Drosophila melanogaster: one gene and its partner. The protein of the gene in region 2 interacts with the protein of the main gene of each other region in a pairwise test. Each region holds a gene or a part of one and is shown on either strand. Other genes may lie near its edges.

Region 1 (6,780 bases), on a different chromosome or scaffold from region 2:
AGCAGCAGCAGCAGCAGCAGCCAGCGTATATTAGCTATATATGGCTATATCCACGAGTTTCCCCTCTTTTTTATTTTTGCCCTGGGGTTAAGTGGCCTGGCTTTCCGGTGGGTGGGAAAGTGGTAGGTAAAATCAAAAATGCCCCAAAATGTCGGGCACTTTTGAAATTTCCTACGCAATTTCCGTTGTCAACACCTTGACAGCTGTCAGACGCACACACAGACACTCTCGACACTCTTGCACACTTACACACGCACACCCGCACACCACACACTCAAAGGCACTTGTCAGTTCGATTTTTCGCCTGCCATGTTTGTTTTTGCTCTTTTTTGCCTAACGGAAACGGAAATTGTTAGGCTTAATAGACAATTCGCATTTCCTCTTCCTTTGAAGTCCTGTATTCAGCAGCCCGCTTCAGTCCGCACAATTGCACAAATCAGTGCTCCTGCTGCTGTTTCTGTCTACTTTGCGTCCGTTGATGGAATCTGAATCTGAATTACAATAATTGTAATATTTAACATCTCAATGGCCAGCCAGATCCTTTGCTCCTCTAATGAGGCGTCACCGAAGGACATGCATAATCAATGAAGGACCAAACGGACGAATGAATCGCTCAATGAGCGACTGAATGAGTGAATACCCAAATAAGCGAGCGTTTCGAAGGCGTAGGATGCAGATTATGAGGATGGATTAATTAATTAAGCATTATTTAGCCAGTGAAACCGATTTCATCTTTAAATCTATTTGAATGTTTTGCAAATTATTAAGATATTCGCATCTCTTCTTTGTATAATTATTAATAATTTGCGCTATTCTTAAACTTTCTTTATAGATACTGCGTGGAATTCGAGGTAATAAAATCATCTAAAGCCTGCAACAAGTTGCCGCCATATAACCTGATGACAGAAGGTAAGAAAAATCAAAGTAACTAAAGTAGTATTTAATATTTATGCAATCAAATGTGTAAAATAATATTTTGACTGTCTTGTGTTTTATTTTCCAGGCGATCGCATCACGGTGCGCTGTGACCTTGAGGCATTGATCCAAGACTCAGCCGGCAGCTCCACCACCGCCAGGACACCACAAGGACCCACTACGCCGTCCACGACCACAGTTTCATCCGCAGCCTCTGCCTTTGGCCAGCGTACGGATGACCTTGAGGAGGAGCGACTGCAGCGTGAGACCAGCAGCGAAGAGGAGGCGACCAATCAGGATGGCGAGGCGGAGGAGGAGGATGAGGAGCCGGAGCAGGATGAGCAGGATGACCTGCAGAATGCCCTGGACTCGGACAGCAACGAGAGTACCGACTACCGTCACCAGCGGCAGTCGCAGATGTCGCAAATGTCGCACAGCCGCCGGACAGCGGGAAAGCGCAGCGCTGTGCCGGCCACGCCCTCGCCCACGCTGCCGCCCACCTACCATTGCCGGGGGGAGGGGCTGGCCGGACGCACGACACGTTGGAGCGCGCTGCCGGCGCCGTCGTGCCGCGGCAAATGGCTCCGTCTGACCGTCGGTCCGCCCAAGAAGTGCGGCCACGCCCAGTTCATCTTCGTCTAAGGCGACGTGGTCATGCCGCCCACTCAAGTTGCGGTGTCCATTTTTTTTTTTCTCCGTGTAGGTTATGGTGTACGGTCTCCCCCACTCATCATATCATATCATATCACCCGCGCCCCTGCCACGCCCCCTCACTTCCGGCCCAAAATCAATAAAGTACCCCATCGTATGTAAGCGTTTAAACATTAAGCCAGTGGATTAAGAAGATCATAGCATATGTATGTATATGTATGTGTGATGAGGTCAGGATTTTTTTTTTTGTTTGTCTCGCTAGAGAAGAGAACCGGAAATAAAGGATACACTGCCAGTGAAATATAGGGTATATATGGAGGAATATCACATATTTCTGAAGTTTTCGAGGGGTTCTACAATTTCGGACTACTAACTTCTGCTCTCTTAGATACTTTATAAATTTAAAAAAAAACTTCCAAAGACTTATGATCTCCTCCACACACATGATATTCATCATATAACCATATTGATATCACGGCTGCTGTGGACTTCCTTCGGTTAGCATTTCTCTAATTAGTTAAGGAAACACTCGCGTGTAAGCATTTGGGCTCAGGACCCAATCAACAACTCAATATAAATGCTGGGGGTCTGTGAAGACGCTCGGATCTCGGATCGGATAATACTAGAAACTAGAGACTAAGTCATCAAATACCGCATAACATCTACAGTGAAAATGGAGTCGAGCTGCGTAGTGAAAGAACCTATATATACATGTATGTGGATGTGCACGAGTGTATCTGTCTAATCGTTAGTTCCCCCCGACTCGCAAGCATATAGCACACACACGTTCTACACATAACATAACATATATGATACATTTGTCAAAAGCAAATGATTAAGGCCCACAATTTTTGGTTACCCAACTGGCAGACAACCCTCTGGAGTCGGAATTAACGTTTGGATCTTAGTATTAATCTGGATTTTAGGTACACACGAATGTCGAAATAATTATTATAATTATAATTAAACCAATAATGAGATCATTCAATAAAGAACGAGTATAATTTTAAAGTAAACCAATGTTGTCTTTGAACATTTACCAATCTAGAGTCTTGAGCCATCCTGGTTTATCTACAACTTGTTTGGTGACTCGATCGTCAGTGCTGCACAGTGGGTCGAAAGTAATTGTAAAATAAAATAAAATAAATAGTTTTTGGGCATATAAAAAGAAACATTTAATAGTTAATGCTATTAAAGCATTTAATAGATTGGATATGTAGGCATATAGATCTTTATAGTATAATTACATTATTAATTTAAAATTGTTTCAGATTTTATTTATTTCCTGATTTTGTGGTACAAGTTTTCCTAGTTTTCTTCTTTTTCAAAGTGTAGAGTGGTCCATAAAAACCATATCTGGACCCACTGTGCTTGAGTACTCAGCTGTTTTGGGTTTACCGGTTGACCCAATTACCACCAATGGTCGGTTAGGTGCCTTTCAGCGCTCTTTCTCTGGCTTTGCCTCTCGGCTTCGAGGCTTGAGTTCACGGTGAAGGCCAGAAGAATGACAGAGAGAAGAGCGAAGACTTGACTTGACTTGACTTAAAGAAAGAGTCGAGAATCGGCCAGAGGCAGCTGGTCCGACGAGGCGGCTACTTGATTAGTCCCAAAGCGATCGCAGACCGAGACGGACCGACGACAAGAAGCTGCAGTCTTAACCGTTAAAAGTAATTCTTTTGCATTTGCATTCTTCAAGTTTCATTTCTTCTCGCCAGTGGTGATTCATCAAGAAATCGGTTGTTTGGTTGTCGGGTTCTCTGTCGGCGGTGTGATTCCCGTTCTTTTTGGTTCGGCCGCGAAGAAAGTTGTCTTCAAACATGTTAATTGCGACGAGGGGCCGTGGGCCGTCGATTTCTTTTAACGGTCTAAGTTTGGCCAAACGAAAACACTTTTCGTTTAAGCCGATAATCGAAAACATCTAGACATTTGACAAGGCCTACACTTAGGTTTTCTTTATTCAGTCATAAAGTTCAGCACATTAAGTTGGTTTAAAGTCTAAGAAACTTTTTTTGTGAAGAGGTCGTTAGATCCGACTTAGATGATCTTGCTTTTTATGTACACATAAAAGCCATTATTTGCAGGGAATTTTAACGGAGTAGTCAAACGTATAATATTAATAATATTATATTTATTAATAGAAACAACAAACACTTATTATATTATTATTAAATCGGACTTAGATATGTTGTCAGACAAAAAGGCGGCTCTCCTGCTGGTGACCGCGATTACCGCCCTCAAATTGGAGGAAATGAATGCCTATAGACGCAACTTCGATGCGCGGCAAAGTAGTAATTCGAATATTCCACTCTGGAAACAGCGAGTAAGTTGGAGAACCTAACGTTCATAATTTTCTCGAACCAATTCCGAAAATATTCGATTACCTAAGGCCTGTGAGAAATCACAGAAACAGCGGCAAAATGCACACTATGTTTGCGATGAAAAAGGTGACTTCAAGTGCCTTCCTGGGTGGCAGGGTGATCTTTGCCAGGTGCCTATGTGTCGAAGGGGCTGTGACCCGATGAATGGTATGTTTACTCCTTCAGATGATTCCCTATCTTGTGACCCCTGAACTCACATTCACACAGGTTATTGCCAGCGACCCGGTGAATGCAGGTGTCGCATCGGATACAGCGGCGAACTCTGCGACAAGTGCATTCCGCTTCCAGGTTGCCAACATGGCGGATGCACCAAGCCATTCGAGTGCATCTGTAAGCCTGGCTGGGCGGGACTCTTCTGCACGGAACGTAAGTAGTTACCGGAAAAGGATAAGCCTGATTACAATCTTACATTTAAAGAACGGAGCATTTAGAGAAGGAGTTAAAACATAGGGAACTAATATCGTTTTGGGGGTTGTACTTGTTATATGACATTTCCAATCAAATCAAACATTCCTAACTCTGTCCAATCCGATTACTCAATTGCCTGTTTCCTCCAATCCGCGCGCAACCAAAGCAAGTTGCCGTACCGGATGCCACAGCACCCGTGGATATTGCGAAGCGCCTGGGGAGTGCCGCTGCCGGATTGGTTATGCTGGACGCACCTGCTCCGAATGCGCCACGATGCCGGGCTGTCAGCACGGCACCTGCAACAAGCCACTGGAATGCCTCTGCCTACCCGGATATACCGGACTACTTTGCCAGACGCGTAAGTCCTGCAACCACCAAAGGAATCCGCCATTCACCCTACTAATCCCAAACTCCATTCCGCCATTCCAGCAATCTGTGACCCAGATTGCAGCAAGCAGCACGGATATTGCCGCAAACCTGGCGAGTGCCGGTAAGTAGGAGCAGCATTTCAATAAAGAAAATGCAGAAAATGTGGTTTCGGCAAGCTGGAGTGCCCCTTTTCGGATAAGTCAACTATTTTTATCCTTAATTTAACATTCCCAAGCATTATGGCTCAGTTAGCTAACAGCAAACTAACAGCAAAACGAACCCATATCTGTCATCAATTTTCACGGACATCCCCTTCTTCTCCAGCTGCAAGGTGGGCTGGACGGGTAGCCAGTGCGACAAGTGCTTCCCGTATCCGGGATGTGCCAATGGGGATTGCGAGGCGCCATGGGAGTGCAACTGCCATCCCGGCTGGGGCGGAATGCTGTGCGACGAGAGTGAGTATATCCGTATATGTGACCATGCCAACGGGAAATTGACCGAGTTGACCCACAGAGCTCACCTACTGCGTGGAGCATCCGGATACGTGCGAAAACGGGGGCAAGTGCACATCGCTGAGTCGCGAGGATGGGAGCTACCAGTGCCAGTGCCGGCAGGGATTTCTGGGCAAGAACTGCGAGATACGCGATGACTTTCTGCTGACCTCAGAGGCGCCACCGCGAATCACACCGCCCACACCCGCTGAGCTCGTACTGGAACTAGATGGCGAACTGGACCAGAACGGGCAGCAGGACATCGGTGCAGGTGTGCCCGATGACAGCGAGCCAGGAGGCGGGCTGGTTGGAGAAAAGTTGCCAGCGGGTAACGAGCCGGAGCGGCGGAAAAATGACACGGTAGCCAACGTGGCAACCGCAGGAACTGGAGCTGGAGCAGGACCCATGAATTCACTACCCGGCAACAGCAACGCCACAAGGACGACATTGGTGGTGGCAACTGAAACTGGCAGCGACAATGCGACTAATGAAGCGTTAAGCGCCGTTACAACGAGGCGTGCCACCCCGATTCCCCTCACATCTGGCGAAAAAACCGTAAAGGGTAATGCAACAAGCGTGTCGGTAGCGACAGGACCTCAGCCACGCCCCCCGCTGCCCATCGTCGCTAGCCAGGAGCAAACAATAGCAAATTTGGCGCCAGCTGGAACAGTAACAGTAACAGCAACAACAGCACCAACGGCTACAACAGCCGCAACATCCGTGACCAGCCACAAGGATAAGCCAAATGTGGCAGACGAGGAGGAGGACGAAGATGACGACGATGATGAGGAGGATGAGGATGGCGAGTACGATGAGGAGGAGGATGAGGACGAGGACGACGAGGAGGATGACAGCGATCAACTCATACCAAATATTATATAGTTAAGAACCTGACAAATGACAAGTAATCCCTCTTATATATATATACACATTGTTCAGTTAAGGGCCCACATATGCAGCATCTCAAAGCAATTTTTTTTTTTTTCTGAATATTTATTATTAACTAATGAATGAAACATCCAATTAAAAAACTCCATCCATTGCGATAGATATACATATATAAATTGTATTTATTTATGATAATTTTAGGGATTAAGCTAAGCAATTTTCGATTTAACAAATGTCAAAAAAAAAAAATGATATTATTAAAGTTTGCTAATCTTAAGTGCTACAAGAAATCGTTGAATCGAAATATGAATAGGGGACCAGAGGATTGGACTCAGAGCCTGTGGGAGTTCAATTCCTGCACTCGGATTGCACTTGGTTCGCTTAAACTTAAGACAAATGGGGGACTACGAGCTCGGGTTTGAATGGGGATCTATATGGCCATCTTAGCGCCACCGAGTTGGGGGTAGTACGATTGGATTGGGTATCGAAAATTGGAATATGGAAACCAGCACATCATAGACATCTAAACATACATATGGACTCTTGCATATGGGCGTTAATAAATATATGTAGTAACTGGTATGGGAGACTTACGAATCGACAAAAAAATATGTAGAAGTATGGGAGAGAGAGAGAATGACTCAATACAATATCGATACGAATAATAATAATAATAATTA
Region 2 (8,013 bases):
TACAAACAACTCCGAACTTACCGCCCCCTCCCCTCTTTAAAGAACCCTCAGGACTCTGCCCCCCATTTCGCACTGGTTACTGCAATAAAGGCAACACAGCTGAAACGTAACTCAATTGTAATGCAAGGTCTCTCACTCGCTCATCCGCACCTACTAACATTTTTTTACCCCCAACCCTGGATGCTTAATTTACATGTTTTCGGGTAACTTCATATAGAAAAGCTCCCCTGGCTCTTTGGCTTTACATGTTTTCCATAACGCCCACACCTTTCGACGCCCACATTTTCCACTTTTGGACTTCTAAGCGCTTCTCATTTCAATAAACTCTTCCCATATTGTTTTTGGTTCGGTTCTGGTTTTGCGGACTTTATTTATTATTTTTTTTTTATGGAGTGAAGTGTCATGGAAATGACTTGCAATGATATTATACTCGTAATGAGATTCATTTCCAGCTTGACAGGTGTGGGAGAATTTCAAATGTAAGAACTTGTCATTTTGGATATGCAACATGTTTTTGTTAATTAATAAAAGCGGTTTTTTAACATATAAACATATATAACTTAAAGATTATTAATTTCCTAAATATTATTTACACATCTTTAAATGCATGTTTTTTAGTGGGGAAAACTTTTCCAAGTAGATAGTTAGCAGGCCGAAAAATGAAGAGCTAGGCCAAGTAAAATGGCATGCAAAGCAAAAATTGAATGCAAGCCTCAAAAATGTTCTATGTTGCTGGCTGCTTTGGGCCATCGCCGTTGTGATGCAGCCATCACATGTGGAGAATAGAGTGTTTCTGGAGCAGAAGGACTAACAGGAGCAGGAAAATGGCAAGGAGACCAAGGATGTGCCACTGGCGGGCGGGAGATGCCTCCTGTTTGTTTTTGCCGTCTGCTTGATGCTATTCCGGCTGCTTTTCCGGGGCTTTACACGCCGCACTCAGTGCTACGGAAAAGCTACGCCACCGAATCCCGTCCCGTCCCTTCCCGCCACCGCCTTCGACTCCTTCTTTCGCCATTCTGACCATTACACATTACGTATAATCATCATTTTGTGCTGGCAATAAACACATGCTGGCTGCTCTCAGCAGCTTGGTTCCCTACCCCTCTGGCTATCATCCCCAACCGATCCCACCATTCATCCCCCTTAAGCCCGCCCATGGACACGGGCACATAGCCGGAATATACAGTTTCCAGTCGTGTGCGCCCTGAAATCACAAACCTTATAGCATGCGATATTTTTATTGCATGCTAAATGCAAACCTAACAAACAAAAATATTAGTGGAAAAATTTAAGTTGAAACTAAATAAAGGGAAACTTCGCATACTGAAATGCTCTAACTCCACGAAAATATTTAATGTGTTGCAAATTTGGCTACGATGGTCAGATTACCACGGCATTTGCACCAAAATAAAAATTAGAAAAAATAATATTTTTAAAGATGACAGTTCGAAAACATCAACATTTATGCAGCTATATTTCTCTAGTCCACGCGACCCTATTTTCATCCAATAGGGTGTGCAATTTCTATGCATTTTTCATGGCTTACCTTTTCATAGTCCAAATATGGCCCCAGGCTTATTGAATGTGTGTGCTTTGATTAAATTTAAAATGTTTGATAATACTATTTGCTGCCTGGTTTTCGGGGGCAAACAGGGAGTGCACGATGGCAAGTGTAATAATGCAGAAGTAAATACATTATGGGGCAATGAATCGAAAATGGAAATCGCACAGGGTGAGGGTGCGAAAATACGGGTCACTTTAAATATTTCCAAGCTTATAGTTGTCCGGCGATGCGGCATTTCAGAGTTCCACAGGTACAGTACACTGTATCTCAATATTGATACACAAGTAATTTCGTACAATAATTTAGTTAAAGCAATATGTAAGGCTCTATAATTATTATGTAAGCTGTACGATCGCTCTATTTGGTAGCCATTACAAACTTCCTAAGTACTGCGTAGCTTACTATTTACTGTTCTCGCCATAAATCGAGCCTGCGTTTACATCATTCTAATCGAAGTGGGTTTCAGGTCACAGTCCCATTGCGGGCGATTCTGGGGATCTGGAACTGTGGCAAACACAGCGGAATATTTGCGGAAGAGGGAGCGGGAAACTGGGAACGGGAATCGGCAACCAGAACGAGGAGCCACTGTGCCAAAGATTCGCTCTCGGTCGGAATTTGTATGTGTGCCATTCGACAACACGACAGGCAAACAAAAGCCGGCGAAATCCAAGGAGGCGGCCGGCAAGGGGGTAGATTATCAAACGACAAATAGACAGAAATCCGGCAGTTGCAGCAGCAACGGCGACAGCCTGAAAGCAAACTTGGCCAAATCAACAACAACACCAACAATACCAGCAATAACAACAAGAGCGAAAGCTGCAACAACACAATGCACAAGAGCCAAACAAATTCAAATCAAACTAAACAACAAGAACAGCGGCGGCAGAAAGTATTACACTGTATGGAGTGCCCGTTTAAATTCTATTTACTTGCAACACATGTTTATGTCGATCCGAAATAATGTTTCTTTGTCCATCTAATTTATATTTATTGATTTGCCTAACCTTAACCAATTGGGTCGTAGCAAATTATCACGCGGTTTAAAAAAAAACATGCTTTCGGAACTTTGGGCCATTGATTCTACTGTTAAATGTACTTTTCATCTATTTAACATTAGATATTAAAAAATGGTATTAGGAATAAATCAATCCATTTGTGGGTCAAATACGACCTATTAACGGCTTCTAACTTGTAGATATTAGGTAAATAAATACTGTACAAACCCATACTCATAATATTTAAATTAGCACCATGCTAAGAAACTTTATTTGAACTCCAGTTATGACGCAAAGGAAAATAGAACACGTTAGTCACCTAAATTTTTCCACCTAAATAGATGTGTCATCAAAACCGGAGATGCAGGCTAAGCTCTAATGAGTTTGTTATTTTCAACAATTCACTTTACATTTTAAATTATAAGCAACAAAATACATATTTATTAGTGGAGCACACTGCAAAGACTGTTTTGCTAGGTAAACGTTGATTAAAAGATTATAAATTCCTAGCACCCACCCAATTCCCTGTGACCTAAATAATAATTGTAAAAATAAATTATAAAAAACTGCAGCTGCTATAAATTGAAACCATTATTTTTAGGTAGTGTGTTCAAGTCCATATACCCCCGTAATTTAAAAGTACCCTGTACACACAGTCGCTGTAAAGCGTAAACTAGAACGAGCAATGCTGCTAGCTCGTCGCGCATGTAGCGGCAGCAACATGCAGCCGCAACATCGACAAACGCCAGCAACATCCAGCGGCAACATGCAACCCCAGCGACTGCATATGTAAAAACGCATACGCCTGGTGTTCGCAGCATGCTGCCGCTGTCGCTGCCGCAGCTGGCGCCGACGTCGCGGCCGCTGCGCTGCCCATGTTGGCAACTTTATAAACACGGAGCGGATTCAGTCGTTTGGTAACTGTTGCTCCTATCAGTCGTTCTCTGTCGCTCTTGGATTGCGTGGGCACATCGGTCGTTCGGCATTTTGGGTTCGGCATTTCGGGATTTGATATCGTTATTCGTGTCGGAATCGTATAAACCTGCGTCCGTGTGCGTTAGCCGGCCATTGAGCACTATCGCTGCCACTGGCATTTGGCCCACCGTGTGTGTTTACAAGTGTGGCATAATCTTCGATTAGCGCAAACCAACCGATCGGATATACCCCTTGAAAATAACAAATAATAGCGAGGAGTTAAAAAAGCATCCAAACACACACTGCACACCCCAAAACACACACACACACCCACACGTCACATAAAAAATATAAACCAGAGCCTCAGCGGCCGTAAAGTGCCACCAAAACGTACTTGGCCGTATATTTTATGCATGAAAAGCTAAAGCAAGTGCAACCAAACGCCTGAGTGACACCAAGAAAAAAAATTCATACACACATATAAGGAAACCCAAAAAAACAAAACCGGGATTACTTATACGCTCACGCTCAGTAGAAAAAATACGCGAAGCCAAAGGAAGTCAGCAGCAAAATCATGTCACGGATCGTTTTTATATGTCTCGCAGCCATCTTAACAGGTAAGAATAAACAACGGCTCAGAGGAAAGTAAAGCCAAAGTCGCGCTCATGAGATGATATCACGCGCTCGTTTAAGACCCGCGCAAATGTGTGAAAAAGTTTAGCTTACTCTCAGATACCTATGTATATGAATAAAAAGATGCTACCCAAAAACGTGTTCTCACCTCGAGCTGTATAAAAATATCATTGTTGAACGGCAAACTTGATTGATGAGAAGACATCGCCCCGCGGGGCTGTGGAAAGTGTTGTCTTTATGAAAGTGATGATTGAGTGAAAAGTTCCCTGTCATAATATCCATGAAATTGATAGTTCCTCCTCTTTTGGCGGTTGACCCGGTTTGGTCCATAGCTCCAACTGCGCATGCTCAGAGTGTGACCGAAGCTGTTTTGAATCTGTGTCCGTGCCAAGTGTGACCTTTCGCATCTTGGGGTACAGCTGGCATTTGCCATGCGCCAGCACAGGTTGAAAAGGTCAATTACACTTTGGTCTTCTATGGTGAGTCCAACCAAATTGGGCTTGCCCGAAAGATCTTCGCCGCAGATGATTCACGGATCGTTTATTTTAATTAATCGGTTTAGTAGCTGTTTTAATGGATTTTCTTTGGTTTTGTGTTCATACGTGATAGGGTTTGATAGCTTTGTGTGCCCATAAGAGGTTTGCTTGGTTTTATGACAGTATTAGACTGTTTAATAGTTGTACTTTATTGGAACCGACTTGTGATCAATAATGTGTTTTTGAAATGTATTTTGCCTTGGAATATAATTTTGTACTATATCAATACTAGTTTCCATATTTTAGCATTGGCCCCCAATAATGTAGAATCTAAAAAAAACCTTGTAGATGGTAATACGTCTCAATATTCGCTCCACTGTAATTAGTCTTTATTTGGCTCCTTTTTTAATTTATTCTAAGTGCCGCATCTTGTGCCAGCATGCATCCTTGAAATTAGGAGACAACATCAGCATCCACTTGAGCATTACTTTCATCTCTTTGTACCACGTACGAATGCGGATATAAATTCTATGCCATCATCAAGGCCCAAAAACGCTGTCGGTTCTATTTAATTAAAATCCTTCAATGTTTCAGCCGTGCTTATTATATTGTACCCTCTTATTACGTCCTTGAAGAGCGAGAAGGATATATGGGTGCAGAGCTAGCTGGGGAAACTGAGACAGATTTCTCATTAGCTGAAAAGAAGATGCTGGTTTATGCCAAAGCCTAACAACATTAACACAACACACGGCACATGAAGCTGTTGCTTTTGCAGTTGCCTCATTACTGCCACAGCCCCTCGGCAGATTCAACCGCCCAATGGTAAAGCCACCCCCCCCCCCACAGAACCACCCACATGACGTGACTTTAAGACAGCCGCGTTTTATTCAGTTGCTAAGCCTGCCTGGAACCTTTCAAAGGTTTACGAAAATGTAAATGCAAAAACTGCACACAAAAAACCAAAATAAAGTACACCAGGAAATCCACTGCAGGTTCAACCCTTCTCCCTATCTCTTTCCGCTGTCCAGTTGCCGTCTTTTTCTAGCAGGGCTTTGCCACTTCACACTGAATACTTTTACATTTTTATAGGACTGACGCATCGCAGACATCGCATCAGTTGACTGCCGGCTGGCTGTTGTCTTGCAATTATAAATGTTTAATGCAGCTCCGGCCATGGCACCATGGACCGTTTTTTCAGACGGGCATGGGCCGGAAATTTAACTATCCGACCCAAAGGATACGCTTAAGCGTGCAAAAAAGGACAAGAGTCTCAATAGTATTTAACAATATTCTATGGGAATTGAATTTCTTGTGGTAATAGTGTTTATTAACATGCGAATATTGCCAAACGATTTATTTATCGCCACTGTTTCTGGATACTCTCCAAATGTACTTAAACTTTAAATTACTACCCCTTGAGATAACTATCCGCTTTTTTTTAAATAAAAATAAACTCTCCATGGCATACTCCACTTTCGGAACTATATATGTATATGACCAGAACCCACATAAAAATCAACCACAATTTCCTTTGCAAACTTCCCATTCAATTTTATGGACGCTCTTTGTGCAAGGATATAAAAAAGGGATGAAGGAGACACGAACTGCAACATGTGCAGCATGTAAATAAGGCATTGCATCCAAAAACCATTCACAGTAATTCAAATGGCCAAAAGGAGCTGCAGTCGTGACGTATTTAGTTATGACTGCCTCATCTAGGAGCGAACAAAAAGCGGTCCAGCATTTATGCATTTTAATGGCCACCAATTGAGGCATGTTCTATGCTATATTTTGTACATACATATATCTACATACATATATGCCATCTGGTATGGTCACAAAAAAGATCCAGGCATTGAATTAAATACGTGCAGTGTTTGCCCAGTTTGCCGCTTCTAAATGTGACTCGTCGGACAGTGACTGTTACTGCGAACTGTGACTACTGCACCTATATCTATTCCTTTTGGTTTTTTGGCAATCCAATTCATACCACCCACTCCCGCCCATGACATACATAATTTTCAACTCTTTTTCTACCTATGGTAATTGCAATGGGAATCGCAGAGAAGGGCTAGCTCCTCCGTCTCTCATTCATATTCATAACATCGTTTCATTTTGGCTTTTTGCTTTGCTACCTGGTCAACAAAAAAGCGTCCGAGCGACCAACTGAACATTTTTGCAGTAACTGAAACGTTGCGAAAAAAGGACTGGCCATAGGACACAAAAGCTTTATCGCGCTGGGGGCTTTAGTTTACCAAAAGGTATTCCCCAAATGAAAAGCGGGAGTTTTCCCCGCTCGAAGGTGCGGAAGGAAGAATCGGTTAATTGCTAACGGGTTTCTTTCAAATGCCTTTCTTTGCCACTTTATTGTTTGCTTGGATTGTAAGTCTGTAATCAATCTATGATTTATAGTTGGGCGTTGTAAAATTTGTGATATACATATGCTGCTCTCACCTTGGCAAAATCAAAGTTGCCATGCGAATATTGTATTAATTTCAGTCAATCCATGCAGGGAAAATGTATTTTTAATATAAATTTACATAAATATTTGTCTTATTCAATTCTCATTATAATTAAAACTACATTGTCGGGCCAAAACTTTCAACGCTTATCCCTTTCCAAATGAATTGATTTGTTTCCTAAAATTTGCTCTATCATTTTTCAATTCGATTTTCCACATTGACACTTATATATATATATATTGCTGATTAATCGCCGGCAGCCAATTTTTATTTACAAATTTAGCAATTTGGGCGAGAGACAAATAGAAATGCACAATTTCATGACTAATTTGCTGAAGAATGACTGAACATTGTCAACAACAACTCTTTGCATGCATCCCTTGTATATGTGCATACGTACGCGTTTATCTGCATGTTTGTCTGTCTTTTTGTGAGCTTGTGTGCGTGCCCAGGAAGTTGGCATCGCTTTGGGCCATGCTGGAATTTTTGGGCCAAAAGGGTTGGTTGGAGAGAGAGGAAAGAGTGCGATATTGACAAAGCGTATGCCAGGCAAATTAAATATAATGGGGGATCTACCCTATTTATTCTGCTCCTCTGCCGCACGACAAAACAGTTGAAAAGACAATAAAGAAAGAAAAGCGGGAAAGCCGGCAAAAAGTTGCACAGCTTATGGAAAAGTTACCCGTTTTCCTCTGCTGCTTTTCGGGCTGCAACTGCAAACAAGTGTGTGTGTGTGAGTCTCGAGCACAATGAAGCGAACTTATGATCGATTCGGCGGCACAGAGTTGTCTTTATGAGCACGTACCAGGAGCGTGAAAACGTGGCCAAAATAAGGGAAACCGACACAATTGCAAATGGGCAAAGGAAGAAGTTCCAAATAATGCGCTTTTGAAGGTGTTTTGCAATGAAAAGAGACAATATAATGAGGATGGGAAATCCAATAAAATGGCTTTAAACACATTCTTGAA

What was found. Proteins that work in one complex are often made in the same cells at the same time.
Region 1: the proteins of Fas3 (region 2) and C901 interact in a two-hybrid assay, tested with the Drosophila melanogaster proteins (one large-scale study listed by BioGRID).

What each region holds. Positions count from the first base shown.
Region 1 is NC_004354.4:10,963,521-10,970,300, reverse strand, and holds C901 (C901), read left to right. Parts: upstream 1-3,166; 5' UTR 3,167-3,233; intron 3,234-3,746; 5' UTR 3,747-3,748; coding exon 3,749-3,886; intron 3,887-3,952; coding exon 3,953-4,091; intron 4,092-4,151; coding exon 4,152-4,310; intron 4,311-4,518; coding exon 4,519-4,710; intron 4,711-4,781; coding exon 4,782-4,842; intron 4,843-5,045; coding exon 5,046-5,176; intron 5,177-5,234; coding exon 5,235-6,094; 3' UTR 6,095-6,269; downstream 6,270-6,780. Other genes in the region: vex (vexed), read left to right, coding at 833-909, 1,004-1,557.
Region 2 is NT_033779.5:18,316,640-18,324,652, forward strand, and holds the start of Fas3 (fasciclin 3), read left to right. Parts: upstream 1-3,462; 5' UTR 3,463-4,048; coding exon 4,049-4,091; intron 4,092-8,013. UniProt on the Drosophila melanogaster protein: Mediates cell adhesion in a Ca(2+)-independent manner. It plays a role in axon outgrowth, guidance and fasciculation of the developing nervous system. Function in neurons is essential for adult survival, and is important for climbing behavior and activity.